Struthio camelus: one gene and its partners. The protein of the gene in region 3 interacts with the protein of the main gene of each other region in a pairwise test. Links are inferred from orthologs where the notes say so. Each region holds a gene or a part of one and is shown on either strand. Other genes may lie near its edges. The genes, in order: YAE1, SIRT6, CHD3 and PTN.

What was found.
Region 1: the proteins of CHD3 (region 3) and YAE1 interact in a two-hybrid assay, tested with the Homo sapiens proteins (2 studies listed by BioGRID and IntAct). The link is inferred for Struthio camelus from reciprocal best matches to the Homo sapiens genes CHD3 and YAE1.
Region 2: the proteins of CHD3 (region 3) and SIRT6 interact in a two-hybrid assay, tested with the Homo sapiens proteins (2 studies listed by BioGRID and IntAct). The link is inferred for Struthio camelus from reciprocal best matches to the Homo sapiens genes CHD3 and SIRT6.
Region 4: the proteins of CHD3 (region 3) and PTN interact in a two-hybrid assay, tested with the Homo sapiens proteins (2 studies listed by BioGRID and IntAct). The link is inferred for Struthio camelus from reciprocal best matches to the Homo sapiens genes CHD3 and PTN.

Annotation. Positions count from the first base shown.
Region 1 is NC_090943.1:58,241,978-58,249,020, reverse strand, and holds the start of YAE1 (protein YAE1 homolog), read right to left. Parts: upstream 3,035-7,043; 5' UTR 2,849-3,034; exon of another isoform or gene 2,839-2,848; intron 2,754-2,838; exon of another isoform or gene 935-2,753; 5' UTR 738-934; coding exon 621-737; intron 1-620. UniProt on the Homo sapiens protein: The complex LTO1:YAE1 functions as a target specific adapter that probably recruits apo-ABCE1 to the cytosolic iron-sulfur protein assembly (CIA) complex machinery. May be required for biogenesis of the large ribosomal subunit and initiation of translation.
Region 2 is NC_090967.1:4,374,922-4,382,550, reverse strand, and holds the start of SIRT6 (NAD-dependent protein deacylase sirtuin-6), read left to right. Parts: upstream 1-4,624; 5' UTR 4,625-4,697; coding exon 4,698-4,763; intron 4,764-6,055; coding exon 6,056-6,183; intron 6,184-6,559; coding exon 6,560-6,742; intron 6,743-7,629. Other genes in the region: ANKRD24 (ankyrin repeat domain-containing protein 24), read right to left, coding at 1-46, 270-340, 418-475, 791-855, 1,287-1,375, 1,524-1,654, 2,715-2,783. UniProt on the Homo sapiens protein: NAD-dependent protein deacetylase, deacylase and mono-ADP-ribosyltransferase that plays an essential role in DNA damage repair, telomere maintenance, metabolic homeostasis, inflammation, tumorigenesis and aging.
Region 3 is NW_027182697.1:108,013-115,827, forward strand, and holds the start of CHD3 (chromodomain-helicase-DNA-binding protein 3), read right to left. Parts: upstream 3,029-7,815; 5' UTR 2,892-3,028; intron 2,745-2,891; exon of another isoform or gene 2,646-2,744; intron 2,569-2,645; exon of another isoform or gene 2,447-2,568; intron 2,293-2,446; 5' UTR 2,286-2,292; coding exon 2,057-2,285; intron 1,335-2,056; exon of another isoform or gene 1-1,334. Other genes in the region: CYB5D1 (cytochrome b5 domain-containing protein 1), read right to left, coding at 7,787-7,815.
Region 4 is NC_090942.1:66,013,528-66,021,084, reverse strand, and holds the start of PTN (pleiotrophin), read right to left. Parts: upstream 3,021-7,557; 5' UTR 2,816-3,020; intron 1-2,815.

The DNA of each region.
Region 1 (7,043 bases), on a different chromosome or scaffold from region 3:
GAAAAAATTCTATCCCAAGGATTCATATCCACTGAAGTCACCTAGATTTTTTTATACTTGTTTTTGTTCTGTGTAGAATTTCAAAGAGGAAAGGGTTGTGGAAACCAGCTTTCATAAAATACGTTTTCAGTAGGAAAATAAATAAGTCCAGCAGGAAAATAAATAAGCCAAAGAACTATAGAGATTGCAATAACCACTTGTTCTACCAGGAGCCACACATCTGAATGATGAATATTACTAGGAGAGTGGGGGGAAAAAAAAGCCCATGTTTCTTTATTAGCACTGTTTAATTATACTGCCCCACATTTACTAGCAGTAAACCTACAACCGTGAAGCAAAAAGCTTGAATCCAGATTTAGCGTTGCATTCCACACATGCACATACTTGTATAGAGGGAGTCAAGATCTTTTGCTAAACTACTACGTGCTCTGACAGGCTACTTGGATAGCGTTGCTGCAACTCTCTGCTCTACATTTTCCTGATGTTCAGAAGAAACTATACCACAATAACTTTTAAGCAGCCATTTTTAGTTTTCCCCTTAAATCAACCATATCAATCAAGGCATGTATCAGTAAATAAAAAATGGTTAAAAGACTATAAAATCATGGTTATAGAAATACCTTCAATCTTTTCTTCATGGTGCTATTCCATTCTTTCTGTGCTAGATATATCTCATCTGCATCTTCATCAAATATATCCTCACTGGATTGGCTGATGGCAACTTGTACCCAGGACATTACAGCACCAGTGACTGTGACCTTTGTTTACGTGTTAAAGCAAATACTGGGAAACTCTCCAAAGTCCTTCTGACAAAGTACTGCATTAGAAGCACAGGCAGAAAATGTGAGTTCTGAAGAGAAGTCACTTCAGGAGCTGATTATTTAACCTATATGTTTGTTTCCACAAAGACACTGGATGCTGCTTACAGCTGTAGCTGTCAAGAGAAGACAGTCAGATCACCAATTGTAAAACAACTGTTTCAATTTGCAAGGGCAGTTTCAGACAGTATTTTCTTCATTTATTTAGGTCCAATGGCAGTGACAAACATATGCACACCAAATTAGTATGTCTAAATGTTGCTAATACGTGAGCAACAGGCAGAAACAACTTTACAATTTGATTTTGATAGCAGGTGACAATAGCCTCATATAGCTTCCATGCAGTACATTAAGTTATATGTAATTGCTTGCAGAGTTTTAGCCTTAGTAACTGACACTGGACATTGATTTTCAGTTTCATGGTTATGCCAAATGTTTAACCCAATCTTGTTCATCTTGAACAGAAATACTCCTGTATACTGTGAATAAAGAATTGGCTAGTTCTCCTCTAAATGGAAAAAGACAGAATTGGATTGTTTCGTCTTCTGCACTGAAAAAAACCTTAAGAGGCCATTTGCAGTTAATCAAATAAATTGCTGGGAATTCTTATAACCCATAAAATACTATCTTTCTCAATAATCTGTTAAAATGGGTATAGGGTACTGATTTTAAATTTCATTTTTGCATTTGCCATATACAATTTTTTTTGATCTTAATCAAAGCTTCCAGAATTTCCAGCTCTGTTGTATTCAATCTTTAGGAAAGGATCCAGTAATTAAATGACTGGTCCAAGAATCTCAGCTTTTGCTCAAGTTCACACAGATCACTAATGCAAATTGCTTCATCTGTTTATCTTTTTCCACATCCTATTACAAAACAGTGAAAACATCCCTATTATTACAACTTACAACAGTATTTCAGGCTTAGAAATGGTTATGTTTCAAAACAGTCTGACATTCTGACAGGGAGTAGAAACATGGCATAGCCATCTCTATTAACCCCATTACCACCTGGTTTTGTTAGCTCCAGGGTGAGTCCATAAAACTGTCAAAAAAAGTCCCCAAAATGAGGAAAAGAGCAGAGAAGGACAGACAAAATACTGCAGTTGTGTCAGTCTGTGCAGGAGGGAAGGAAGGGAAGAAACAGTTCAACAAGTTAGAGACGAAGTGACTGGAGAGATCTATACCCCAAATTATTCCTGATACGTTCTCAGACGGTGCTACCGACCATGGCCGAAATGCAGAGGATGTCAACAGCACCAAAGGACATAATTAAAGTCCTGTGCCTGGCCACGCTGCTTTTTCTGGGACACAAACGGTTGGATCCTTCCAATCCTCAAGCTCCCTCACTGTGATGGGTGAGGGACGCACCTCAGAAGTCCCCAAACCTTTCCAACCGATGGTTTGCAAAAAACCGCACTGAGCGCCTCTCCCAGGGCAACGTGGCGTCAGCGGTGGTGCAGCGCTGCAGGCTGTGACCAGCGAGCGGCCTACGCTGGAGCCGAGGCTGTGCCGTGAGGTCCCTTTCACGTGTTGTCCCGATCCCCTCACCTCTCTCTCTCTCTGACTCTTTCGTGTGCGAAACATTAATAAATAAATAAATAATACATTTCAAAAAAAAGAAAAGTAATAAAAAGGCCCAAATTCCCCTGCCGCAGCATGTCCCAGGCGAGCACTTGCTAGGGCAACCCCGAACAGGCTGGGCTGCAGACCAGTGGGAACAGGGCGGCCTCGAAGGAGGAGCCGCGGTCCCCGTCCCCGTCCCCGTCCCGGTCCCGGTCCCGGTCGCGGCCGCGGGGCCCCCAGACTCCCGCGCCGCGGCGGGCCGCCCCCGGCCAGGCCGCAACCCGCCATTTCGCGGCCAACCGCTCAGCCCCAGCGTCCCGAGGAGCCTTCCCTCTCTGCCAGCTGAAGACAAGCGCAGCCTCCCCTCCCTTTCCCTGGTTCCTCGCTCGGACCCCCGGCACCACCCCGGCCCCGCTCCCCCGGCACTTTCCCGCAGCCGCCGAGCGGCGGCCTACCAGCGCTTACAGGGCGCAGCCATCCCGGCTAAGGGCAGGCTGGCTTCACTGCCATTGGAAGCAACGGGCGAACGGCAGCCATGTTGACTGAGGGCAAGATGCGCAGGGGCTGCCGGTAAATAGCCGCCATCTTAACCCGCAGCTCGGTGGCTTCAAAGCCCGTCTGAAGCACTAGGGGCTGGCGGCCATCTTGAGTAAGGGCGTAGCTTTACGGCTTCCTCAAGGAGGCGGGACGGGGCTGACGCGAGCGCTGCCCCGCCCAGGGTGCCCAAGCCGTTGGAGGAGGCAGGGAAAGAGCCGTTACCGTAGCCGCCGTCTCCCGCCTCTTCGGGGCGCCGGGGAGTGCGGCTGCCCCGCAGCGGGCCATGGCGGCAGGCTGTGCCCCCCCCCCCCCGGCCCTCTAATACCAAACCCAGCGGGAGCGCGTTTCCCGCAGTGAGAAGGTTTAGCTTGCTTTTCAGTCATAAATTGTGGAATTGTAAAAAACCAAAGCAAAACAAAACAAAAAAACCCCTGCCTTTTGAATCCTCCGGGTCCTCGGGTGTCAGCCGTGTCCTTACGCTGTCCGCTGCGACCACAACGTTTAGGCTTCACACAAATGTATCCTTTTTAATAAGAAGGGGGCCAGTGGCAGGCAAATGTTTTACTCTTTGCCTCTGTGAGAGCAAATATACATCCTTTTGACATACCAAAATTATTTAGTGTTTTTCTTGGTACAGTCTATATTTGGCATATGAGCGTACCTCGTTTAAAGGTGGTCAATGGCACCAACTAATCTTCAGACATTAACTATGCATCAACTGCGGGTTTAAACTGCATGTTTCTTCCAGTTGCCAAATCCCATTAAAGTAAATGTCCTGGTGCTTATTCTGGTCCCTGAAAGGGAGCATATGTATGACAGAAAGAGGAGATTAAGGGAAAACGTAAAATAAAAGCGCACGAGGGTGTCTGCTGCTGTGTCCCGTGCCTGGCGTGTCTTGTTGCAGCTGCTTCTGAGGTCCAAGCCGAGCTCACAGCTGGGCTGTCCCATTACAGCCCTCCCAGTGGTGCCCTCGAAATACTACTTCTGGACTCTTCTCACTTTGGTGATGAGGGCGGCTCCACGGGGAAGCTGGGGAAGGTGGTGGCAGGAGGCCCTCCAGTGCACACCTCGGTGTGCGGGGCTCCCCCCACCGAGCACACTGTCCCAGAAGGAGCTGCTGAGACCACCAGCATTCATGTGACAGAGACCACATCTGCATGCTTTGATGCTGAACCCCAAGAGCCATGTCCCCAAGGCGCGTGCCTCTTCAGAGACTCAATGGCATAGGCAGGAGATGCTGATTTCTCATTTACTGTTGTGGCCATGCTGCCACACTAAGACCTGAGTGAGTGCCTGATCCTGTCCCACAGAAGAGTCATGAAATTCCCATTACAGCAGGGTTAGGTGCACAGCCATGACTGAAAGCAGAGCCTGTCCTAGCACCACAAGTAATGAGAGAAGAATGATCCCATGCTGTGACTCACACAGCCACAGCAAACTCATTCTCCTTGCCCCTTCTGTTTGGCCAAGACAGCATGTGCTCCTGCCCATGGCCCTTCTAAGATGCTCACTGCCTATTGCATGCTGAGGTACAAGTGGCCAAGCAACCCAACTCTGTCGAGGAACTGGCATGTCAGGGGATGAAACAACATGGATGCCTCTGGACAGCCAGAACTGTGTTTATCTATTCCTCAGCAGTTATTATATATGGCCATGACTGCTGATTTCCTAGCCCAATTCTGCCTGCTATCTGGTAGAGGTTAACTTGGCTAGCTCTGCCATTTTTTTTTTAACAGACAAAGGTGCTGAATACAGCTGGACTGCACAAACACACAGTCTCAGAAAACCCTTATCACAACTGGAACTCTGTTGCTGTAGGTAACCCCTCATGACCAGTCACAAAATGGTGCTACTAAACCTGGGAGCTTCCTGCCTGTGGAGCTGGACCAGCCCTACCCTTGCTCATCACCTTACCTTCAACCTCTCGCTCTTCTAGAAAGGACACACAGGTCATGCTTCAGGGTTACTGAGCTGCCCCAATTCAAACTGTCTCAGGACCCCTTATGTTTACCTTGGTTTGTCGTTGTATTCCACACAGATGTCTGTTGAAAATAAATCCTTATGTTGTGACCATGAGAAACTGTGAAGAAGGCTCGTATTCCCACCCTTTTCGGTTAGTGGTTGTGGGTGGATAATTTGGTGAATCATAGTGTGTACACAGAACAGCACTGCTGGGTTATGAAGTACACTTGCTGCAGACAAGTTGATTGCATGCTGATGGCCTTGACAGGTCTGCTGGCAAGGCTTGAGGGTGAGGTGTAGTGCTTCAGGATGTGCATGTTTTCCACACCTATGTGCGTTCTAAATAAATCAGTGCCTACCTATTGTGGTGACATTTTGTGGTGCTGCATGCCAAAGGAACATGAGGTGAGTATTTCACAGGCTACAAAATGGCTTTAGCATTTTTGCGGAATAAATATATGAGAAGACTTGACCCCCCAGATTTGTGAAAAATAAAGAAACAGGTGATTCATGACCCATCATAAAGTTCATCTGTGCCATATCTAAGAATAAAAACTGAATCATTTTAGATTTACGATATCTGCAGTACCAAAAGTACCTCTGAGCAATGAACGCATTTGGCTTACCAGTTGCTCCTTGCACATGTTGTTGTAGGAGGGACAGGTTCCAGAGAGGCTGTGCACACAGTCGTGCACTACTTATGACTACCAAGATGTTATGGGAGATCATTACCAAGGATTTTTGTCAGTTTGATCTCATTAGTAAATTCTCCCATTGAACAGTGACCAAAAGTGATCTCTAAAACTAAGATATATGAACATAGCAGTGTGGACTCCTTTTTTACATGATTATTACTATGCAGAATACTTCAGATACAGCATTGCCCCTGTTCATGTCAGTACTATGCACCCTTGTCTTTCAGCCATCAGTGTCTCAAACATGCACTGACAGAAGCAGTCAATGGATTTCTTCATAATGTACAAAGACCCCTCAGGACTTCAGGCTCTTTTGAAGGGTGGTTAATTCATGTAGCCAGGGCTTCTTGTGCTGCGTATGGGCTATTCTGTCTTTCAGGATGACAAAAAAATCTCACCAGGGCAATTTCTATTGCAGTGTGCGACTGTATCTGGTGCACTCAAGCTAAGGCTTTCGAAAGGCCCAGGATACAAGACTATTTGCACTGGCATTACACTGTACGTAAATTCTTCTCCACTCACTTCTATATTCTGTTGTAACAATGTTTATCGTCATGGACCCACAGACAGAGCCACGTCTCTCTGGCTCTTAATTTTGGCAGTTGTATAATTCTTTTAAGAAATCACAGCTCTTAAATGGTATTTGGATGAGTTTCAGGAACACTATCAAATCACTGTTCACTTGTTCTCTATAGTAAACAAGACTAAAACATGGTGAGTAAAGAGTAAGCTGTTGAAATGTGAGGAGAATGAAGACTCTTGAGGTTTAATAAAGTCAGTAAATACATTGTCATCAAACATTGCAGGATAATTCCGAGAAGTTTTAAACTATAAGTCCCTCCTAAAATACATGTTCTGTCTATGGCCAGGTCTGTAGTCTTTTCCAGGTATCTGGCTCTACTGACTAGTCAGATTCTAGGCAGTTTGCCTGGAATACGTCGAGTAACAGGAAATCAGTAAGACTGCCTGCAACGCCAAAAAATGGTCTATTCATGCTCTCGTGCAGCCTATGCCTCTGTCCTGAGCTTGATTCTTCTCTACATTATTTATTTCCCCCCCACACTAAAGGTGGTAGAGTTATCTATTGGCTGGATGTTGAAGGTGGTAATACAGTGACCTCCAGTGCTTAAATCCTTCTGTTCCAGACCCACCGCAGGGAAGGAAAGTGACACCACAGTGAGCGAACAGGTTAACTGCAAGGTCATAGACTTAGTGACGTTTTACATAGTGCAGCTCACAGCACAAGAGACTACAATGATGCTAAATTAAAAAAGAGGGTTAAAATAAGCCACTAGGTTATTACCAGGGCACAGCAACAAAAATGTATTTCTGTGTTTTCCTATAACATCTCTTATTCAGAATATCAAGGCAATTTACTAATAAAGCCCTATCACCCTCTTGTGATGAAGATAGAGAATACGTAGGAATCACTTCCCTGCTTTTGTGAAATCACTTCCCCCTTTTTC
Region 2 (7,629 bases), on a different chromosome or scaffold from region 3:
CTGAGTGGCTCATCTTGGCAGCAAGGATCAGCGGCGTGAAGCCATCCTGGGCAGGGGCAGTGTGTTTTCACAGCAGCACCCCAGGGACCCCAGGTGCTGCCAGCAGTTAGCTGCTGTGTCCCACCCCAGAAGTGGCCACATTTCAGAGGCAGCCTCAGCCTGGCCCTTGGCTGCTCTACGCAGCAGCATCACCTGGCCCAGTAGAGTTTAATCACTGCCGGAGGACTTGACCTCCATACAACAGCAGGTGCTGAGCAGAGGGATCTCACCTTGTCCTTGATGTTCAATGGAGCCTTGAAATCGCAGAGGATCTCCGAGCACGAGATGCAGCCGCTGACAGCTGGGGAGAAGGACAGAGGCTGAGTATTGACTCCTGCAGGGATGCGAGCAGGATGGGGTGGCACCGTCCCCACTCACCTGCGTGGTGCAGTGCCGTCCGGCCGCTGCCATCAGGCACGTCCACGGGGCAGGAGGCCTGAGGGAGAGGGCCTGGGTTACAGGAGAATGGGGTGGATTGCCTGAGGGGCCAGGACTGTGGGGCACTTTGAGCTCCTTGGTGGTGGAAGAGCATCATCACCAGCCCCAAACCACATGGTGCTGGCCAGAGCCAGGCACCACCATGCCGACCAACGCCACTGCAGAGGGATGGGAGCGTGGCCATCCCAGGGATGCAGGGAGGACGAGGCAGGTTGGGCCTGGCTGTGCCCTTGGAGCAAGGGGCCGAGTCGGGCATGGCACAGGGCATGGCACCCTGCCTCCCTCGCGGCGCCGTGCACCCAGGCCCCATTACCTGCAGCAGCTTGCTGACACATTGCGGGTGGCCATGCTTGGATGCCAAGTGCAGGGCAGTGTAACCTGGGGAGAGGGACACAGACAGGTTACGGTCAGACGGACAGGGCGGTGGCAGACGGATGGGTTGGGGGACAGACAGACAAGCACACAGGCGGTCATCCCCTACCCTCTGCCCCGGGAGCTCTGGGGAACATCATGAGGTGGCTCAGGGCGCCAGGAAAGCCCAGCACCCTGCAGGGCTGGGGCTGAGCAGGGACGAGGCACCCCTGGGAACACCATGGGCCAGGGTTCAGGTGCCTGTTGGCGGCTAGGACCCTCCTTGAGCATTGATTTACAGCCCATGTGGCCATCACCTCTGTCTCCACAGCCTTGGCACCTGCCGGTCGGGTAGGAAGGACTGGGGAGTGTCAGGGGCCCAAGGCGGTCCACAGCATTACCCGGAGAGGAAAAGAGGGGGGACGAGGGAAGCTGGGTGCGGTGGCCATGCCCCTCACCTGAGCTGTCCTTGGTCATGGCATCCACGCCGTGGGCCAGCATGGCTTCGAGGCAGTCCACGTTCCCCCGCATGGCGGCCAGGTGGAACCTGCAGCAAGGCCCAGGGCCATCAGCCCCATGTCCCCAACCCCCGGCAAGCCCCGAGGAGCAGCGCTGGGTGGCTCAGGGGACCAGGAGAGCCCAGCAGCCTGCGCCAGGGCGGACACAGGGACAGGAGGATACAGGTCAGTACTCACGCGGATTTGCCCTCCAAGTCCAACTTGGTGGCGACCAGCCCCTTGCGGACGAGGAGCGACGTCACCCTCCCGGCATCGTTGTAATCCACAGCTTGCAGGAGCTTCTCATCGTTCTTGGTCCAGTCCTGGCTCTGCAATGAAACCGAGACGGGGCCGTGATGGGTGTTTGGACCCTGGAGACAGGCAGGGTGCTGGGCTGGGCTTGTGTCCCTGTCCTCATCCCCATCCCTGCTATCCCATCCCATGCCCTAGGGTGGCCATCTCCGGGCCAACTCCTTTGCCAGGTGCCATCTGGCCCCTCTATAAGGAGGGTTTAGCTGCCTGGCATGGGGGTCCCCAAGTTTTCAGCCCAGGGATTTACAGAGCTGTCCCAGTTTCACTGTGCCCAGATCGGGCCGGGATTCAGGAATGACCTGCTGCTGCCCCATCACCCTGCCCCAGGGCTTGCTGCTGCTGCTCCGCCGACCCCGCTGCTAAACACAGCCAGCAGCCACAGCTGCTTGAGCCCCCACCTTGCCCAGGCTCTCCCCAACCTCCACGCACCTCGCCCCGGCCCCACGGCCACCCCTTTTTGCTGCCCGCCAGGGATGGGGCCGAGCCAGGGCAGGGCAGTGAAAACGGGTCCCCGGGGACACCTCCAGCCCCCGTTGGCGCGTGGGACACGAGGACACCCCCTGCTCCTGCCCAGGATCGGGTCCGGATGGGGGCCGGCGGAGCGACCTGCAGCAGGACGGGACGGGGCTGGGACGAGCCCGGGAAGCCCCGGGTTCACACCGCAGCCTGCGGCCGCAAACCAAAGCTAGGCTGCGGCCGGGGGAGACAGGAAATGGATGTCACCTTTCGGAGCTGCTCGCATCCTGCCCATCGCCAGCCCGGTGCCCAGTGCCTGGCACGGGGCTTGTGCCACAGCCCCCTCCCCAATAACCCCACAACTCCCCTGACCCTGCGGAGCTGGAGGACCGTGTCCCAGGGCGGGGAATAAAGCAGTCTCCTGGGGTTACTGGGCAAACTGGGAGTGCAATCCCCCCCCCCTCCAACCCTTGCCGTGCAAGGACAAAGCAGCTCGGAGAGGACGCAGCCAAGTCCCGGGGATAGAAGGGGCCTGGGGCAGGTGAGGTGGGGGGGTGACACAGCCATCCCCAGAGGACGGGGACCGAAGGGGACCGGGGACGGGGGGGGGCAGGGACGTACCGCAAAGGAGGCAGCGGCACAGAGGCAGATCTGCTTCATGGTGTCGAGGAGGAGGCGGCGGGCGGCCATGCATCCCTCGCCCCCCGCCTGGGCGAGGGCCAGCCGGGCCGGCCGCGGACCCCAGCTGGCTCCAGCACCGCCGCCCGGGCGGGGGGCCGGGTCCTGCCGCAGTGGGAGCTGGGACCCGCCTCCCTCCATCCCTCCGTCCCTCCTTCCTTCCCTCCCTCCTCATCACCGGGAGCTCGAGGCATCCCCGCATCCCTGCGGATGGAGCGAGGACCACAGCAGGACCGAGCGTCCAGGGCTGGTCCCAGTTAGACTGGGAGGGACTGGGGTGGGGGGGGGGAGGTCAGCTCCCCCAGGGCGAGGCAGTGGGGCACCCCCAAATCAAGGACGGGAGCATCCTCCTGGCACCCAGACCCTGCCCTGGAAGGAGGGGCACAGCCCCCCCCCCAAACTGGGGTGGAAACGCAGGTCCCAGCCGAAGCGGGGGCCGCGCTGGGACAGGCTGCGGCCGTGGCCCCAACCGTTGGGGAAGGAAGATGGAAACCCGGCCGGGGAAGGGCAGAGCTGCGGAGAAGGGCCCCCCCCCGGATAGGGGCAGTTTAGGGGGGCAGCAGCGGCCCGTTCAGCCCTCCCCGCTGCCGCAGCGCCCAGAGGAGCCGGGCAGGTGGGGAAACCGAGGCACGGGGCATCCCCGGGCCAGGCAGCTCCCCAGACCCCAGGGAGGGGGCCACGCTTCGGCGTTTAACCCGCACCAAAACGAGCTCGAGCAGGGCCACGTCCCCCCCCCCCCCAGCACCTCCGCGGGCACCGGGGACGGCACCGTCACCCCCGGCAGGGTGGCAGCTGCCCTCCCCGCTCCCCGGCCCGGCGGCGGACCGCCGCGCGGCGCTGAATTATTGATGAGTATCGACGAGTGCCGTCACCGAGGTGGGAACCCGATGGCCAGCTCCGGAAACCTGGCAGCCCTCCCGGGCACCCCAGAGCCGGCAGGCGGGACCCTCTCGCCCGACGGCGTTTCCCCCCTCCGTCGGGGACCCCCTTCCCCCCCCCCCCCCCCCACGGACCGCACTCACGTCCGACTTCTTGAACTTGGCCTTGAGGCTCTTCATGGCGGCTCGACCCTCCGGCCCGCCGTGCCTAGACGAGGGAGACGGCGGCGCCGTGAGGGTCCCCGTCACCCCAGAGGTGGTGGCGGGGGGGGGGGGGGGACACGTGCGTGCGCCTCCTCGACGCCCTGCTCCCCCCCCCAGCAGCCGCCCCCCAAAACCAGGCCCGCGTGGGGTCCCGCCGGCCGCCCCCCCCCACCGTCTCCCACCGGCGCCCGCAGACCCTTCCTCACCCCGCGGCCGCCCCGCCGCTGAGCCACCCCGGCGCTTCGTGGCCGGCCGGCGGGCGCCGGGGGGGACCCAGGCGCCGCGGGGGAGTTGGGTTACGGCGGCTCCGGTTACACCTGCCCGCGCCGAGCGGGGCCCCCCGAGCCCGTTCGGGGCCTCCCTGAGGGCGGCAGCGGGTGCCCCCTTTTGCCACCCGTGGGGTGATGTGGGGCAGCCCCCGAAACGCCCCGGGGAAGGCGGTGGCGGCGTGACCCGAGGCAGAGGGGGCCTGGGGGGGGTGGATGGAGCCCTGCAGGGCTGGGACCCCACATCCCTCCCCAAGGGTTGGGGGCGGTGTGGGGCAGGGCTGGGCCCAGGCCTCGTCCCTGCCTGGCACCCCCCGCCCAGCGCCTGTGTCCGGGCCGGGTTTTGGGGGGGGGGGCAGGAATTAGGCTGGAGCAGAGGAAGGGCAAGGGAAGGGCAGGTGCTTTCCCTGCCAGGCACCAATATGGCGGCGCCGCCCTCGCCTTCCCTCCCCACCGGCCCTGCCTTGCGCATGCGCCCCGCGCCCCGCGGCTTCATTGCGCGCTTCCGCCCTTCCGCGGGCATTGACAACAATGAAAACTTTATTGGTGCGCGGCGGGCGGCGCGGCCGGGCCGGGCCATGGCGGTGAACTACGCGGCCGGGCTCTCGCCGTACTCGGACAAGGGCAAGTGCGGCCTCCCCGAGGTGAGCGAGGCGCCGCGGGGCCTGCCTGGCCCGGCCCCGGCCCACCCCACCCCTTGTCCCCCCCTGTCTCCCGGGTGGGGCCTCCACGCTCCCCCCGGTGCCCCCCAGCGGCGGCCCCGGCCCAGCCGTGTCCGTCCCCCCAGCCCCACGGGCCCCCTCCGTGGCTCCCCCCCCCCCAGCTCCATGGTCTTCCAGCCCTATGGCTCTCCCCCCGCCCTCCAGGCCCAGCCCCACGGACCCCCTTTTGCCCCCCGGCCCAGCCCTGTGGCTCCCCTTTGTACCCCCCCCCCAAGCCCAGCCCCGCGCCCCTCTTTTTGCCCCCCCAGCAGGGATCCCCAAGCCTATGTGTCCCTTAGCAGGGATTGCACCCCCCCTGCCCCATGTTCCCCCTCAACCGGACCCCATTTGTGTTGCCCCCCACCCCCAGCAGAGACTCTCCCAGTGCCATAGTGCTGCCCTTGTGCCTCCCCCGAGCCCAATCCGTGACCCCCCCCCTCCCAGCAGAGACCCCAGTGCCCCCTCAGGGTCCCCCCTTTTTCAGGGCAGGCCCTCGCCCGCTGTGGGGCCTGTCCCAGGCATAGCTGGGGGGGGGGGGATCCCAACCTCGCGGCCCAACAGGGCACAGCAGCGCTCGAGAAGCTTAGAAGAGGTCTAGGGGGACGGGGACGCGCAGGGGCGTCCTGAGCCCGCCTTGGAGCGCGGGGACGGGACGTCCTCCTCAGCCCGTGTCCTCAGGGGACCAGGCTGGAGGAGCAGCCCGCAGAAATGCAACTCTGCGTCCGTAACGGTCGCCCGTGCCAGAAGGCAGGATGGTCCCGCAAACCCATCCAGCTACAGTGGCTCTGCCTCTTCCATCTCCATGGCCACCCTCTTCTTCCGCTGTGGCTCGCTGGCCCCGAGCCCTGTCGAGCCCGCGGCTCTGCTGGGGAACGGTGCCGGGGATCAGTGCACCTGGGCTGGCCCCGGGGTCGCTCCCTTCCTCCTGCTGCTCCACTGTGCCCTTGATCCAAGATGCTTCTGTGGGTATCAGGTACCCGTTGGCAAGAGCATTAAATACCCTCTTCTGCATAAGGCTTTTTTAAGCCCCTATACTACATGGGGACAGTTTGTACAATGCTGTTTCTCTCCAGTTAGATGCTTTTATCGTTAAGCAATGAGAAATCTTATTTCCCACCTGCAGTTTTCATTGTGGATAAGAAAGAACAGTTTACTGGGTGTGTGTGCCTGCTGCGGGGGTGCGTAGCACCCACCACTGGGTCTCTCAGTTCCTGCTGTGGTTTGTTTCTTCTCAGATTTTTGATCCTCCGGAGGAGCTGGAGAGGAAAGTGCGTGAACTGGCAGATTTGATAAGGAGTTCCTCGAACGTGGTGTTTCACACAGGGGCTGGAATCAGTACTGCCTCAGGGATTCCCGACTTCAGGTAAGGATGGTGGGTAAGGGAGCAGGACAGCAAGTGAGGGGTGGAAGGAGTAGCACCTCCTCGTGGGCCATTGCACTTCTCGCAAAGCTCTGGACTGTGCTCCCTGCCGCCCCTTCCTGCCTGCAGCAAGACCTGGTCCTGTAACCAGCCACCACTCAGCAGACACTACCCTTTCCCTCTTGCAAGTCGCTGCTTGACATTAAGCTGTACCTGCAGAAGCCCCATGTGTGTTCTCCTTCATCAAGGTCAGAGATCCCTGGTAACGGGTGACCTTCATTTAGCAGAGTCTTGCTCTTACTCTGTTGATAGTGCTCGTGATGCATTCACAAGCATCTTAGAGTCTGTGATCATCACTTTTCTGTCTGCTCTGCCACAGGGGGCCAAATGGTGTCTGGACTATGGAAGAGAAGGGGCTCTCCCCAAAATTTGACACCACCTTTGAGAATGCCAGGCCCTCCAAGACTCACATGGCACTGCTGGGGCTGCAGAGAGTCGGCATCCTCAAGTTCCTGGTCAGCCAGAACGTGGACGGCCTTCACGTCCGTTCGGGATTCCCACGGTACTGCTTCTCCCGCCTTGCTTCTGGGTCCCCTGTGCCTGCCCCAGCCCCAGCCACTGTTGTGTGGCTGTTCTTGCTGCCCAGTTAGGGTGGTCGCATGTGCAAACTCTTGCCAATGCTCCTAACAAAATGGGCCAGCTAATTTTCTCTTGATGCTGGGGCCTGAATGCTCTGCTTCCAAGAAATGTCCAGCTTGGAAGCTGTCTGCCCACTGATACAAGCGGGGAAACCGGAATGCATTGGTGGGGGAAGGGGATGTAAACCAGCTTGAATTCAGAGAAGAGAGGTTGTGGCAATAATCTGAGGGGTAATGAAATGAAATCAGCCTCAGGTGATGCTTTTCAGTAGTGCACCCAGCCAGGTGCCAAGGGTGCTCACAAGCAGAACAGGCAGACAGTGCTGTTGGGCTGTAGCAGGTTACCTACCGCCTGTCAGCTGAGCTGCAGCAGCAGACTGCGCAGCCAAGCTGTGTTACCCAACTGCCTGGGGATCGTAGCCTGCCCTGCTGCAGAGGGAAACAGCAGCTTCGCATAAGGCATGTGCTCCTGGTGGCAGAGGCCAGGGACAGGGCTCGGGGCTGGGGTCAGGGCACACGGGTCCTTTCCACTGCCTCTGCTCCCTGGCAGCAGCACCCGTCAGCATGGGGGTGAAGGCACGGGAGAGTGGGCAGGAGCATCCGAAACTGCTCCAGTTGTTCGCAGAGACTTATATCACCCTGTTCTACCAGCACTGCTAGAGCTGTCCCAGAGCACTGCATTTCGTACTATTTTAGGATTTGCTTAAACTGAGTTTCTTGAGAGAAAATTATTAAAGGCGGTGCTGCCCCAGTGGTGAAGCCATGCCTGGGTCCAAGATAGCCTTAAAAGGTACTTTGTCTCTAAATAAAT
Region 3 (7,815 bases):
TACACTATGGGGTGCCGAACAGCCCAGGGCCCATCAAGCGCCCTCCCGCTGCCCATCGCCCCACGCCATGGGGTGCCGAGCACCCTAGAGCACGTCAAGCACCCATCACTGCATGCCACAGGGTGCTGCGCACCCTAGAGCCCCTCAGGCGCCACCCCGACACCCATCGCCCTGGAGCACAGGGTGCTGAGCACCCTGGAGCCCATTGGATGCTCTCCTGACACCCACTGCCCCACACAACAGGACATTGAGAACCCTGGCTCCCCTCAGGCACCCGCCCGGCACCCACCGCCCCACACCAGGGGGTATCGAGCACTCTAGAGCCCCTCAGGGCCCTCCCAGCACCCCCCCATCCCACATCACCGCGCGCCGAGCACCCTAGACCCCTTCAGACACTCTCCCAGCACCTCTCACCCCACACCATGGGGTATCGAGCACCCTACAGCCCCTCAGGCGCCCATCGCCCCACAACACGGGCTATCGAGCACCCTACAGCCCCTCAGGCGCCCATCGCCCCACAACACGGGCTATCGAGCACCCTACAGCCCCTCAGGCACCCATCGCCCCACAACACGGGCTATCGAGCACCCTACAGCCCCTCAGGCGCACATCACCCCACAACACGGGCTATCGAGCACCCTACAGCCCCTCAGGCACCCATCGCCCCACAACACGGGCTATCGAGCACCCTACAGCCCCTCAGGCGCCCATCGCCCCACAACACGGGCTATCGAGCACCCTACAGCCCCTCAGGCACCCATCGCCCCACACCAGGGGGTATCGAGCACCCTCCAGCCCCTCAGGCACCCATCGCCCCACAACACGGGCTATCGAGCACCCTACAGCCCCTCAGGCACCCATCGCCCCACACCAGGGGGTATCGAGCACCCTACAGCCCCTCAGGCACCCATCGCCCCACAACACGGGCTATCGAGCACCCTACAGCCCCTCAGGCACCCATCGCCCCACAACACGGGCTATCGAGCACCCTACAGCCCCTCAGGCGCCCCCCCACCCCACTCACTCCACGGGGGCACCGAGCGCCCTCCCTCCCCTCAGGCGCCCCCCACCCCACGGCGGCGGGGTGGGGGGGGGTCCATGGGGCAGGCGGCCCCCTGGTGGGGGAGGGGCACCGTTTCGCACAGCCGCCCCTCCCCCACCCCAGGGACTAACGGCGGCGGCGGGGGGGGGGAAGGGAGGCGGCGCCCGGACGGCGCCCCCCCCCTTCCACAGCCGTTAACGGAGAGTTGGGGGGGGGGGAAGGCCCTCAGCGAAACCGCCCCCCCCCCCGTGACGACGCGGAGCCGCTGAGGAGGAGGAGGAAGAAGAACGCGGTAGGTGGGGGGAGGAAGGCCGCGACGGTGTCCCCCCCCCCCCATACAACGGTTGGGCGGGGAGGGCCGGCGCTCGCTCCCCTCCACGCGGGCGGGCGCGTTAAACCGGGGAGAGGCTTAGAAACGCCCCCTCCCCCTCCACAAACGGAACGGAGCCGTTGAGGAGGAAGAGGAAGAGCTCGGTGGGGGGGGAGGGAGGAAGGCCAGGCCGATGCCCCCCCCCCCACCTCCCCTTTACACACATCCACTCACCCGGCCGCGGGGGGGAAGAGCTCGGCGCGGGCGGGCGCGTTAAACCGGGCAAAGCAGCGCGGCGCCTCTGTGTGTGTGTGTGGAAGGGGGGGGGCCTAGAAACCGCTTCCCCCCCCCCCACACACAACCAAACAGTCCGGAGCCGTTGGGCAGCGCGCGCGCGCGCCCGTTCGGCGGCCGGGAGGGCGGCGGTTGGGGGGGGGGGCCTAGAAACCGCCCCCCCCCCCCCCGCCGCCCCGCAACGGTCCGGAGCCGTTGGGCAGCGCGCGCGCGTTCGGCGGCAGCGCGGGGAGGGAGGGGGGGGTGGAACGTTCGGCCCCTCAACGTTCGAAAGCCGTTGGCGGTTGTTTACAAACACGGCGCCCCCCCCCCCTTCAAAGCCGTTAGCGGGGAGGGGGGGGGGCGCGCGCGCGGCGGCGGCGGGAAGCGGGGCCGGGGTTGGGGGTGGTGGGGGGGGGGAGGTTGTTTACCTGGAGGCGCCTCAGTCGCCTCAGCGGCCGCGGCGGGAGCTGATGCTGCGGGCGCGGGCGCCAGCGGCACCGCCGCCTGCACGGCTGACAGGAATATGTCGCCGGGGCTGTTGTCCCCGGCTCCGTCTTCCTCCTCCTCCTCTTCCTCCTCGTCTTCTTCGTCCCCCTCCACCTCAGACACCACCATCTCCTCCTCCTCTTCCTCGTCCTCCCTCAGAGGGGAAGCCATGGTGGTGCTGGGGGTGGGGGGGGGGGCAGGGAGGGAGAGAGAGAGAGAGGGAGTGAGTGAGAGAGGAGAGAGAGGGAGAGAGAGAGAGAGAAAAGAGAAGGGGGGGCGGCCCCCCTCCGCCACACACCAAAAAAAATCCTCCCCCCCCCCCCGCGCAGCACCTCAGCCTGAGGAGAAAACGGCAGGAAAAAGTCCCGCGAATGCAGCCATGAACCCCCCCAAAACAGCGAGAAAACTCCCCGAACTTTTCTTCCCCCGCCGACTTCCCCCCCCTTCCTTTCCTCCCCTGCCAAAAAAAAAAAAAAAAGAGAGAAAGTTGGGGGGGGGGGAAGAAAGAGAGAGAAGAGAGGTTAAAAATACATTGAAATTCTGAGGGGGCAGCTCGGAATAATATTTTCCACAAGAGCAAGGAACAAAAATGGCCGCCCTTAAATTATTTTTAAAACCGACCCCCCCCCCCCTTCCCTCAACCCCGGGAGGTTACCGAAAAAAAAAAAACCCCAAATCCCCCCCACCCTTTATTAAAAAAAAAAAAGAAAGAAAAAAAACCAAAATGGCTGGCTTATTTTTTTTTTTTTAAGTCACCCCCTACTCCCACACACACACCTCTTCCTTGAGGTTAAAAAAAAAAAAAGATTAAAAAAAAAGCCTCAACAAAAATCAGGCAAGAAAAAAAAAAGCAGCCTAGATTCCCCCCCCCCTTTTTTTTTTTGTTGTTGCTGCTGCTGCTCGGAATATATATAGCTGGCGATATAAAATAATTCTGATTTTTGGCTTGCTGGCCCCTCTCTCTCTCTCTTTTTTTTTTTTTTTAATCTCTCAGAAGATCTCAGATCAGTGCATAAGATGAACAATATTTGTATATTCCTGGCGCTGGGGGGAACTGAAAGAGAAAGATTTCTGCATAAAACAAAGATGGCTGCTCTAAATTATTTCTTTTTTTTTTTTCCTCCCTCCCCTTATACTTCCCCCCCCACCTCCCTCAATAAAAATATTTTTTGCGGGGGGGGGGGAGAGAGAAAAGGCTGGATTAATCAGTACTCATGCTCAGTATGACATCAGCATAAATTGTTAAAGGTTAACTAGTTCCATACTAGTAACACCACGAGATTTTTTTTTCCGCCCGCTTTCCTTGCTTTACTAGTACAGGCGGAAAAAAAAAAAAAAGGGAGAAAAAAAAAAACAAGGGGGGGGCTTTTTTTTCCCCCTCCCTTCCCTACTTTTAAATACTTCAGAAGGGAGTGGTGTGTGTGTGTGTGTGTGTGTTTTTTTATTTTCCCTCCCTACTCTTTCTTTCTTTAGGCTGTAGGGCAAGGAAGAACAAAAAAAAAAAAAAAAAAAAAAGGGAAAGAAAAGAAACAGCCTTGAAAAATCATTTAAGCGCATGGTCCAAATTCGTTTAAGTGCATCGTTAGGAATGATTTAACTGTGTGTTTTCCTCCACCGGCGTTCAAAGCCAACGCGCCTCCCCGGGTAAAACCGACACCGAGAAATAATTAAAAGGGAGAGAAACCCCCCCCGCCCCCCCCACCGCCGCGATTGCCCCGCTTTGCTGGCGAGAAACACTCACCCCTTTCTCTTTTTCTCCCCGTAGCTTCCCCCGTAAAAATTGGGGTGAAAAACGCGATGTTTTCACCGCTCCGCCGTGCTGCTTTCGGAGGTGAGCAGGGAAAAGGGGATTTTTCACCCCGGGGCCCCCGATGTCTCCCGCTTTGTCTGCGCACGGAGCAATGACCCCCAAACGCCCCCAAATCCCCCCCGAAGCAAGGGGGCCCGGGGAGGAGCCCTTCGGGGCGCCCCGATGGGCTTTTCGGGGGCGGCGGGATGACACCACCAGGGCATTTTTGCAGCATTTTTGCCCCCGGAGCATCTTTTCGGCCCCAGAAGGCAGCCTCGCTCTCCCCAGATCGTCCTGGTTTTCGAACCGCCGCGTGCCGGGCCCTCGGGATTCGTTCCCGCTGCTTCCTAAGAAACGCTTTCATCTGTTGAACGTTACACTTAAAAAAAGGTGCGATGGGGGAAACGCAAACTCACCTCGAGGCCCAAAGCCGACGAGCCGGCGGCCGCTGGACGGCAGCCCAGGACCCTGCTTTTATTTTTCCCTTCTTCTCCATCTCTCTTTTTTCCCCCAAATAATTCATCAAACACGTTCCCCGCTCAGGTCAGAGGAGCTTTTCACCTCACCTGTGGGGTTTTTTTCCCCCCCTCCCTCCACCGACAAATTGCAAATAACGATTATTAATTTCTTCCCAACCCTGATTTCGAGGCCTTTTGCAATCAGGCCTGCTCTGGACTCCGGCGATGCCCGCAGACCTGTTCCCGTGGCCCTCGGACACCGACCCCCTCCGCTTTTGGGAGAAAAAGCCTTTTCCGGACGGGATCCCAAACCCCTCGTGGTTTGCACGAAGCCAGAGCGCGGTAGGCGGGGCTGGTGTCCCCCCCAAAAAAAGGAAAAACTCCATAAATCCCCCCAAACTGCACCACAGCCAGGCCAAACTCCCGCTGCTCACCAAGAATTTAACACCAGGCACGGCTTCGATATTCATTTTTGGGCTTGTTCAGCTGCTTTTTTGCCCTACAAACCTGGCAAAAAATAGGTATTTTTGGGTGGGGAGGAAAGAAATCGTTGCGCAGAGCGAATCTCGCTCCCCGACCGCCCGTGCTCGGCGCCCACGGGGCCGCGCCGCTCGCCAGCCGCCTGCTTCCCGCGGCGCCTTTTATATTTAACCCAAGCTCCCCCCCGGGAGCACCGGCACCACGAATTCGTGTCGAAACGGCTCCCTCCTGGCGCGGGCGGCCAGCGGTTTGGGAGGAATTTGGAGACAAGAAGAATATGTTGATGCCCCCCCCCCAACCTTTTTTTGTTTTTTTTTTTCCTACCCAGTTCATGTTTATTTCTCACTTCCACAAGGTGGGTTTTTTTTCTTTTTCTTTGTTTTTTGCCAGTTCGGTCCTTTCGCGGCTGCCCCCTTTGACACCACTGTCCAGGCACCTTCTCTCTCCGCTCCCCTCCTGGCAGCTAACGGGCCGCGGAGCAACCTGCCGCCGCTAATTTTGTCGCGGGCAGGTTCCCCGGTAGCGTTTTTAACGATTTGCGAGGCTTTGACGGCCGGAGCGCACGTTCCCCGCCGGGAGAAACTTGCCTTAAACTTGACCCTGGCTGCTTGCGGCTTGGTCTCTGTTCCCTTGGGCACGGCCAGGGCAGGCTTTTCTTTTTTTCTCCCCCCCTTTTTTCTGTCTCTAACCCGTCTTTGATGTTTCTTCGCAGCTCAGCGACGGCCAGGGGCGCGACCGGAGCAACACGCGGCATGACGCTAATAGGGAAGTCGCAGCGCTTATCACCGCGTTTCACCCGGCGAGAGGGGTCACAGAGGCTTTTACGCGCCGACCGGCTTGGGGAAACGGTCGCCGTTGTGGGAAAACCTCCTGCGGAAGCTGCCGCTGCCTCTTCCATGCCTACTTCCTCCATCGCTTCGGTTTGGCTTCGTTTTCCTCCGCTAATAACGCTTTTGGGTGGCGGCGCAGCCCCTAAAAACAGGCCAGTGACTGGAGGGGACCAGCAGAGCGAAGCCCAGAACGGGGAACGTGGCAGCTCCGAGGGGACCGGGCCTTCCCGCCTCGCTTTCCAGCCCGGCTGCCCCGCGGCCGAGACGCTCCAGCTCCGGCGCTTCTTTCCCAGCTGCCTCATCGATTTAGCTAATAAACCCTCGTTTCCCACGGCATCGCGGCCAGACGGAGCCGAACGCGGCCAGACGGAGCCGACATCGCGGCCGAGGCCTCCGGGCAGCGTCGCGGGCGACGAGCAACTCCCCCGGCCTCGGGGCACGGGAACGTGGCGTTTACCGAGATGAGTAATTCCACGCGGAGGGGATTCCTGCTCTCGCGGGGGCCGCGGATCAGCCTTTTCCAGGGGATTTTCATTTCTAGAGAGGGGAGCGTTGGCGGCGCGACCGAGCCTGGCGCGTCTCCGTGGCAGAGCCGGCTGGAGCGGCGCGCGCAGCCCCGAGCCCTGGCAGCGCGTAATCCGCACCCCGTTCCTCTCGCTGGACAGCCGGAGCCGGAATCCGGCGCCAATTGGCAGCGCCGGGCTGATTCGCACCCGCCGAGGACTTAGCCCTGAAGGTAGCAGATAAAAGCGACAACCTCCAAAGAGAGCCCAAACCTCCTCTTCGGGGGGGGGGGGAGCGGAGCAAACGAGGCTTTGATTAGAGCCACGCGCCAGCTGCCTGCGCAGGGTCCAAGGGGGGGGGGGGGGGGAAGAAAAACGGACACACACACGGAAGGAGACGCAGCGAGACAGACGGACAGCGGAACAAGGACATGCAGAGACGCACGGAGGCCTCGGGATGCCGAGAGCGGTCGCGGCGGCAAGACTCGGCGGCGCGGGCGAGCGGCGTCCGGCTTCGCTCCACCTCTGGGTTACTGTAACGCGGCCTCGGGTCAGCGGCGAGGAGAAATCCCTGCCCACGTGACGCGGGGCCGCGCCAGCGGCTGGCAGCTCCCGCCGGGAGATGAAAGGCCGCGGAGGGGCCAGCGGGACGTGGCCGGCGCCCGGCTCGGGGGCGACGCGCCAGGCGGCCGCTCACCTGCGCTGGCCCCGGGGCGCTCGGCTGGCTCCTTGCTGCTGCTCCGGCCGGACACAACTGCAGGGAAACGCGGAGAACAAGAGGTTTTAGGTCAAGGCTGGATGTTTTCCAGGAGGGATTTTTCTTTGAACTGAAATTCAGTCCCCCCCGCCCCCCAGCAATTTTTTGGCACGTGTTTGAGCTCCAGCAGAGCGGTGGCACCCGCCTCACCTTGGCTGGGGGCACCGAAAACAAATCAAACCACCTGGATATTTGTCACGGAGGGAATCCTGAGGAAAGCTCCGGTTTCCCCTTTCTTCTGCAGCTGCCTCCCCCCTGCGCCCAACGCTACCAGTCCAGCCAAATCGAAGGGACGCCGCAAAAAAAATTCCCTCCGGTGGTGCCAGACCTGCCCTCCCGCCAGGTTGTTCTTCCCCCCTCTCTCCTCCCAAAAACAAGGATGAGAAAATAAAGTCTCTGTGCCCAACTCTTATCATAATCCTGGCGATAACGAGCACGCGCTGTGATTATTCCCTTCCCCCCGCCCCCCGCTGCTGGCAGATCTGCACTGCTGAGCCCTGGTCTTTCCCACGCCGGGGCCCATGCGGAGCTGGCGAGTGCGCCGCGCTGGCTCCCCTCCTCGCCTCCAGCTGCTAAATCATGCTGGAAGCTGCTAAAAATACCCGCCGCGAGGAGCTTTTCCACGTCAGCTGCTGCCGCGGGAGCCAGGGGATGCTCTTTGCTCCCGAGGGCCAGCGCAGTGGCAGGCGGGGGCCGCGCGCTCCCCGGACGCGCCTGGGGGCCGGGCGGCTTTTTTCAGCACGCGCCTCCCAACTCCGCACGGGAGTGGGGGATCCGGCCCCACCACCGGCTCTCCAGCGGCGTTTCCCGAACCCCGCCACGACGGCGATCCGCCGACTGTCACGCCAGCCGGCGTCACCCGCGCGGCGGCCGTCTCCGAGCGC
Region 4 (7,557 bases), on a different chromosome or scaffold from region 3:
GATATGCATATAAATTAGTGAGACAGATCCTAAATAGTTTTGACAGGTTTAGTAAGTATATATAGTGACACAGAATGCTATCCCTGCTGTCAGACATCAATATGTAGACAGAAGATTGGGGGCACCATGGAAACTCAGCAACATAAGAGTGGTATTGATTGGATAGAAAATGAGGCTGCAATTTAAGCTTAAGACTGCCAGAGATGCCAAGAATGGAGAATGACCTCCAGCAGTGAATTTGCAGCATAAGCTCCCTGTGAACAAGCCAGTCCAAGAAGGATAAATCAGGGACAAGCTCACCAGGGATATGGGTCGACCGAATGCAGGCTACCCTAAGCAGATGAGAATCTCTGTGTGTGTGCGTGTTACAGTGACCTAGTTCGTTCAAAGAAAGCATTTTGAATGGTTTATTATAAAGAGGCTTGAAACAAAGAGGTTTCCTCAATTAAAGTCCTGAAATGAATCCTCTAAATGAAAATGCTTTTGATACACTGATCAGCAAGAGGTTGTAAATATTGAAGCAAAGCTTACATTGTTACTCAAAGATAGTTCCCACAGAAAACTCCACTGTTGGGAGCGTACGCAACGAGGGGGCTTGAACAGAGCAACAAGTTTCATCGACAGAACCAATTCCATCCCAAATAACTTAGTGTAAATGCTTTAACAGTTTATAAATCATATCTTCCCTGCTGCAAAAATGCACTGAAATAAAACGAAGCATGCTTTAAATGAGTACATTTTCAGAGCTCCAGTAAAAGACTATTTTTAATTGTTATCCAAGGACTCAGGAAGAATTGTTTCCAGAATGACCAAAAGAAACATAAGACGTGTCTGTGAAGTACCTTGCAAGAGCCGTTGCTGGTAGAATCAGCTAAGTATTAATATTCAGTTTAGCAAGAGAAAGCTGAATCTACACAAAGCCTCCATTAGTAGAGCTGTGACAGGAATAAGATAAGCCTCAAGAGTGTCCTCAGTGTCAACACTGGCATAATGGCATAACTGAACCTTCTCTGGGACAGTTTGTTTCATATTACCAACAGTAGAATACTAGTATATGGTACTGGGCTAGCGCTATGCTTGGTAATGCTGTAGTAAAACCAACTTCCTGCTGGCAAGCATTTATCAGTCACAAATTGCATCTCAAATAACCGGTGATAGACATCTGGATAATGGCAAAAGTCTGTTTTTCTTAGATCGCTTGTTCACTATCAACAAAAACTTACTCATTTGTAAGAGACAGATCTGTTGCTGGCTTCAAATTTCCCTCTCTTTCCATCTAAGAGCTTGCTCTGCAGTCGATAAGCATCCATCCTTCAATTTCACAGAAAGCTCCCTAAGTGGTAAGTCACCAAAGAGTTTAGCTTCGATCAGAGTCAAGAGTACACTTAAACCTCTACTTTCTTGCTCTTTTTAGGAGGAATCAGTAATTTATGCAGTGGTTTTCTTATTTCTTTTTTTTCGGTTGACCACTCTAACAAAATACCTTCTCCATCCAATTCCATCCACTACAAAAACTAAAAACTTCTTTCACCACTAGGCAGGTTCCTTTTTCCCTTCGGACCATTTCTCTTGATGAAAATTTCAGATTGTCTTATATATATATATATATATATATATATATGTGTGTGTGTGTGTGTGTGTGTATAAAATTTTCATGCTCTTTTTGCAGGGAGGGAAGAGAGTCGCACAGAACAAACTAAAGTTTGCTCTGCAGATCAGCTCAAACCACTGTCCAGAAAACGTATGAGAAGCATTTCTTTATAAAAAAAAACTTTCCCATACCCTTCCCTTCTCTTTCTCCTCCTACCCTCCCTCCTCCTCCTCAATACAAGCAGTTATTACTATATATGCAATCCATTCCTTGCTCCGAAAGTTGAACTTTGCAAAAAGCTTGGAACAATCGAGGTCTGAAGGGGAAACAGGAACAGGACAGAAAGTTTGAGGCTTGACAAATTACAGGTAAAAAGTGTTCTTCTACTGTAACATAAGTTATTCAAAGCAAACAGGATCTAGTTAAAACACCGACCGATATGCATAGTTGCAGGGCTACCTCATAGAAGAGGTAATGCACATCGCAAACCAACCTACAATGCTCCTAAGAACCAGCTAACCTCAGAGTTACATCCCCGAATCCAGCTTCTGAGCATACCACTAAACTAAAGCACTGTAGCCATCCACCGCCGCGGCACGCCACTTGCGGGGTTGAAGGGAGAGGTGCACGACATCCAGCTGGAACAAGCAAGAGCAGCAGATGAGGCCCCCAAAGAAACAAGACTACCTTTTTCTTATAAAGAGCTCTGCTTTTCAGAAGAGAGGACAAGGGAGGGTAAGGAGTTAGAGAAATCCGTGCTGGAGACTGTGGCACATTTGCAGAACAATCAGTACTCTTAAGTAGGAGAAAACTGCATTTTCACCAGTGTTAACTCTACTTGCAAGAGAAGACGAGGGAGGGGTAAGGAGGTACGGGAAGCAGCGTGGGAGACCGTGGCTCGTTTGCAGAACAACCTGTACACCCAGCAGGGGAAAGCCGTGTTTCCACCAGCGTTAACTCCGGTTTGCTCCCATCCCATCCCCGCGGAGGGAACGGCAGGCGTAAACTAACGGCAGCAGTTTTAAAAACAGATAAACCGGCATTTGCTGGCTTCGCCCCCCCCCCCCCCAAACCTTCCCTCCCTCGCCGGGCCCCGTCCCCCCACTTCACTTTCTTAAATATCCGCGCGATCGACCGGCGGCGGCAGCGCCCGCTCCGCGGCCCCGCGGCAGGTGCCCGGCCGCCTCCCCCGCCACCGGGGCCGGGGCCGCGCCCGTGACTTACTTGGAGCGGCGGGAGGCTCTCGCCCGTCAGCCGGGAGCGGCGGGCACTTGCCGGCGCTGCGATCCCTCTCCTCTAGCCTGCTGCTGCCGCTCTGCCGGCGCGCCCTCTCGCTCTCCTGCTCGGGATTTGTTTTCCTCGCAGGATTATTATGGTTATTTTATATACATATACATATATATATATATATATATATATATGCCGAGGGAACCTGCTGCCCGCGCTGCCTCCGCAGAGCCCCGGCGCCGAGTGCGGGAGCGGGCGGCCCCGGCCGGGGCGGAGGGAGCGGAGCCGGCGGCGGGCGCGCGCGCGCGCGCGCGCTCCCGCGCGGCCCCTCCCGCGATCTGATTGGGGCGCGCGGCGGGCGCGGGTCACTCGCGGGGCAGCCTCGCCCCCGCCCGCGGTGGGGGGGGGGGAGAGGGAGGGGGCTCCCCCGTGCCTCGGCGGAGCCCGGCATTGGGGGGCTGGGGGGGGGGGGAGGTTAGGTTAGTGGCGCGGCCCCCCCCGCTGCGGCGTCCTAACGGACTTCCCGAACCGGCGTAACGTCCCGAACTCCCGCCCGCGGGGAAGCGGGGGCTGGGCTCGGCCCGCCGCGGGGGCGCCCAACGGCTGCCCGCCGGCCGTTGAGGGGGCTGCGGGGCGGCCGCCGCGGGGCTCGCCGAGGCACCGCTTTCACCCCGTGCGAGTCTTTGGCCCCTTCGGTGACTGTTTAGGGGAAAGGGAGCGTTAACTTTAACCTCGCTGGCTTCCAGCTCGCTGCTGAGACTGTGGCAGTGTTGGACTGGAAACGCTGTTAGGGGCAGGGGAATAAATAAAGCAGCTTTTAATTTCTGTTTGGGCTGCAAGTAGCACGAGAACAAGTTTTGTGGTGGCATTTCGGCACTTCTGGGTGTATTGGCTGCTGGAGTTGTGTCAAGGCTTTCATTTGGGAGCAGGCCTTTCCAGCTTTTAGGTTCATTACATCCACTGAATAAGAGCGTTCCCCAGTCTACAGCTTAATTTGAAACTAAGTGGACTTGTTCCAAAGCCCAGGCAATTTCTGTGCAATTGCCCATTGCCAGAACAAGTCTCTGGTCTCGATCGGAAAGACTCAGCCCATTGACGGTTAGGGTCTTTGCTGAGATCGTTAAGCTAGCAGCTCCTGCTCCAGGTCTGAGAAATCCAGTTCGGATTCTTCTCCTGTTTCCAGAGGAATGAGTTAAAAAAGTAATTTGTCTGGCACTGTTCGCATTGCATCATCTAACACCTACCATCTGTGACAATGGAAAGCTCTGTATGGCTAGGCCCAGCGTAGGCAATTGCACCCACCTGGCCTCCTTCTCCGTAAGCTACTCCCTTCCTTCCATCCACACCTTGGCATCTTCTTTACATCACACAGTTACATGTATAGTCCGGGCACGGCTGTTAAGGATTTACACCACTGGCCGATTTAATGACAGTGATGTAATTTTAAACAACTTTGACCCGACAGGCAAAGCAGTGGCTTCAGGAGGAGAGAACAGTGTTTTTAGCAGCTGGATGCGTGGAAATGAGCACTCAAATAGTACTTTGCAACTGAGCGATGCAAAGCTGATCAGAATAAAAATGGATCCTTGATAACTACTCTGCACCTTCCTTGGGGCTCCTCAGTGAACTCCTGGCATCACTGTGCTAAGCACTGTGAGAGGAAGACTTTCCATCATAAAACAGCTGATAACGGTTGACACAAGAGACAACGGTCTCTGTGCCACTGCAATAGTGCACTTCAGATGGGCAATGATGTCCGAGTAACAAAGTGAAAGTAGGCAAGAGGAGAAAGGCTGAAAGGCTCTTGATTAAGACCAAAACAGATGCCTTGAAGTGGGTCTGGAGATTTCTTCCTTCCCTCACAGAAAATTGAGTCCTACCTAAAACACTTAGCATTTTCAGTTTTTCAACAAACAATGGAAACTTTCTGCAGAAAGCAACCACTTTTCACAATGATGCGTGTGTCAGAAGCCCCATTTTTCCATTAAATGTTGAAAGCAATGTCAATAGACAGTTTTGAACCTAATCCACTCACACCTCTTCTAGATACCTTTCCATAGCTCAGAAATGAATTTCCTGTGACTGAGTTTACATGCACTAAAACTAGTTTTCTGTAATGGGGGCTTAGGTTTTGATTCAAAAAGTCTAAAATGAACTGCACTCGAGGTTAACACAGCTGCTCAGAGGACAAATTATGGTCTGAAGGAACTCTGATGAAAAAATAAAATATCTCAGTCTTGGACTGACAAAAAGTAAAAGTGTGTTTTTATGTTAATATTATTTCCATATTAATGGCACCTTGAACGGTAGCCTCATTTAAGTCTCTTGTGACATACAGAAAATATCCATACTGGAAAATAGCCTTTGACAATTACTTTTCTGGTCTGGACACACAAATATCCAAGAAAAGAAAATTTGCTCTCAGATTGCTGGTGAAACTTATCCTTAAAATCCTTGCTGGTTCCATACTGTTCAATAAAACAAAGATGAAGAATGGACTGCCAGCTGTAGAAGTCAAATTTCTGCTTTCATGTATCATCTTTGCTACCCAGAACAGTATCCCATTGAAAAGGAGATATAGGGCAGAATTTCATTTAAAAGGAAGAGTGAGGGTTAGGCAAATAATAAGTTACAAAACCACTTCTGATTGATGCCACATGCAAAAAAATGGTCTTGTGAACAATCGAAAAGTATTATGTCCCAAATATTTCTATCAGTAAGTATTTGAGGCAATTTTGGGGAAAGAAGCTCCCAGCATTAGATGTATCTTGTACCTAAATCTAGAAACCCTCCCACAACAAAGTTCCTCTCACTGAGTGTTTTCCTGAGTTGAACACCAACAGTTCCCTTTGAACCTGGGGTATTTCAGTACTTTGAGGCAGTTGTTTCATAAGTGCCCTGAAGGAGAGAGTCACTGGGATCTCATCAGCTTCTAACGAGAGTTTAGTACTTCTTTCCTAAGGTGCCCTTGAAAGATTCTGACTATAAAATCTCAGACCACAAAGTCAGAACGCAAGACTTTATATAATTTGCTCCCAGTAAGTGTTTCCCTGTTCTTGGTCCCACAGCTGAGTAGAATGGGGCTATACTTTTCAAGAAGCAAAAACCACTCGCACACCAGTTAAAAGGTCAGCTTGGGTTGAGCTTTCTTTGTTTCGGATACACTGTAAATATCAATTTCTTTCTCTCGCCCTCTCTAGCCCTCAGCAACAGCAGCCTCCAAGAAGATGTAACATGATTCCAGGAAAGCAAAAAAAGAGAACTCGAGAATAGCGTAAAGATTTTTTTCACCTTTTGCTCCACTGTTGTTCCCAGGCTATTGAGCTGCCAAACTCCAGCACTGAGTGCCCCTCATGCCTACTCTACCAAAATCAGATTTCCATTAGTGATACTGAATTATTTAGTGAATGCACTGAACACTGAAATCAGCTACTTCAGAGCTGTGTTCCTTCTCACTCCATCTCTCATTTCAGGCCTGCATAATAGCAGGAATATTGTCACAGAGACAATAGTCAGTCCTATAATTAGAGTGGAAAAATCCATGGAATTCAAAAATAATAATTCATGCCTCACTCTCTAGTATTAAAGTAATCCAGTATGTTAAAAAACAGTTTTTCTAGATGTATGCAAAAGAAGGCAAACACAAATTCTGAACCCAGCAGAGTTATTTTTACATGCACACGTGCTAAAAACTTAAGATATTTTCCAAAAAAGTCAGTATCCCAGAACTTGATCTTATGCTTCAGTGACCAAACCGTGAATACATATTGCAACGTTACACATTTGACTGATTCTATTTTCTACAATGGGATTAATGCTCTTGTGCTTGAAATTATTCATGTGCATATATCTGCATGTTGCAGTTTGAATCCACAAATATAATGCAGCACAGCAGGCCTTTCCAGATCCCCAGCTTTTAAAAGAGTGCCATTCTGAAACTGGCTTCTCTCACCATTTTCTTCTTTTGTGCTGGCAATCCTGAGAATGGAGATCCTACATATCCAGAATTTGAAATCTGTTATAAAAAGAAAAAAAATCCCAGCTATGGATAAAAATTGTGACTTTGAACAGACTATCACTTTTTCTTTTTTTAAAACAACACGTTCATTTCACTCTGGTTTTACAGTTTGGGGGAAAGGAAAAAACAAAGCAAAATGGCATTTTATTTTGATGTCCCAAGTCAAAGGTACCGTTTTTGTTCTATTTTGACTTATTGCCGCTATGTATTTCTGGGTGAAAATCAAAGCAAAAGACAGAAACAAAACATTTTTCAACTGAAACAGAAACAAAAAAAAAAAAAGACATTTTGATTTGGCTTAAAACTTCTGGCAGAAAATTACTGAATAAATAGAATGCACATTTCCTTTTCAGATTATCTCAGGAAGAACTTGATTTGCTAATTCCAGTTTTTGAAGTTAGTTATGTCTACACTCCTAACTGTTCTGTGAAAAATCTATCTTTAAAAGTAGAGAAGGTAGTATTTATAGCCCTACCTAATCAAGTCCTTGATGCTTCATTAAGACAGTCAAAATAGTATTTTATGTAGTATTGAATGGCTTTCAATTGGGCACTGACCTGATACAGTCAATTTTATTCTCAGTGACAAGCCAGTAATAACAAATTTGAGGCACTAAGTATATAGCCTGCAAGTGATATAAAAGTGAAAATCATGTTGTGTCTTTACTAATCATTTACCTCTAAGCTGAATAATATGCAACTGTTTTCTAGTTGAAAATAAA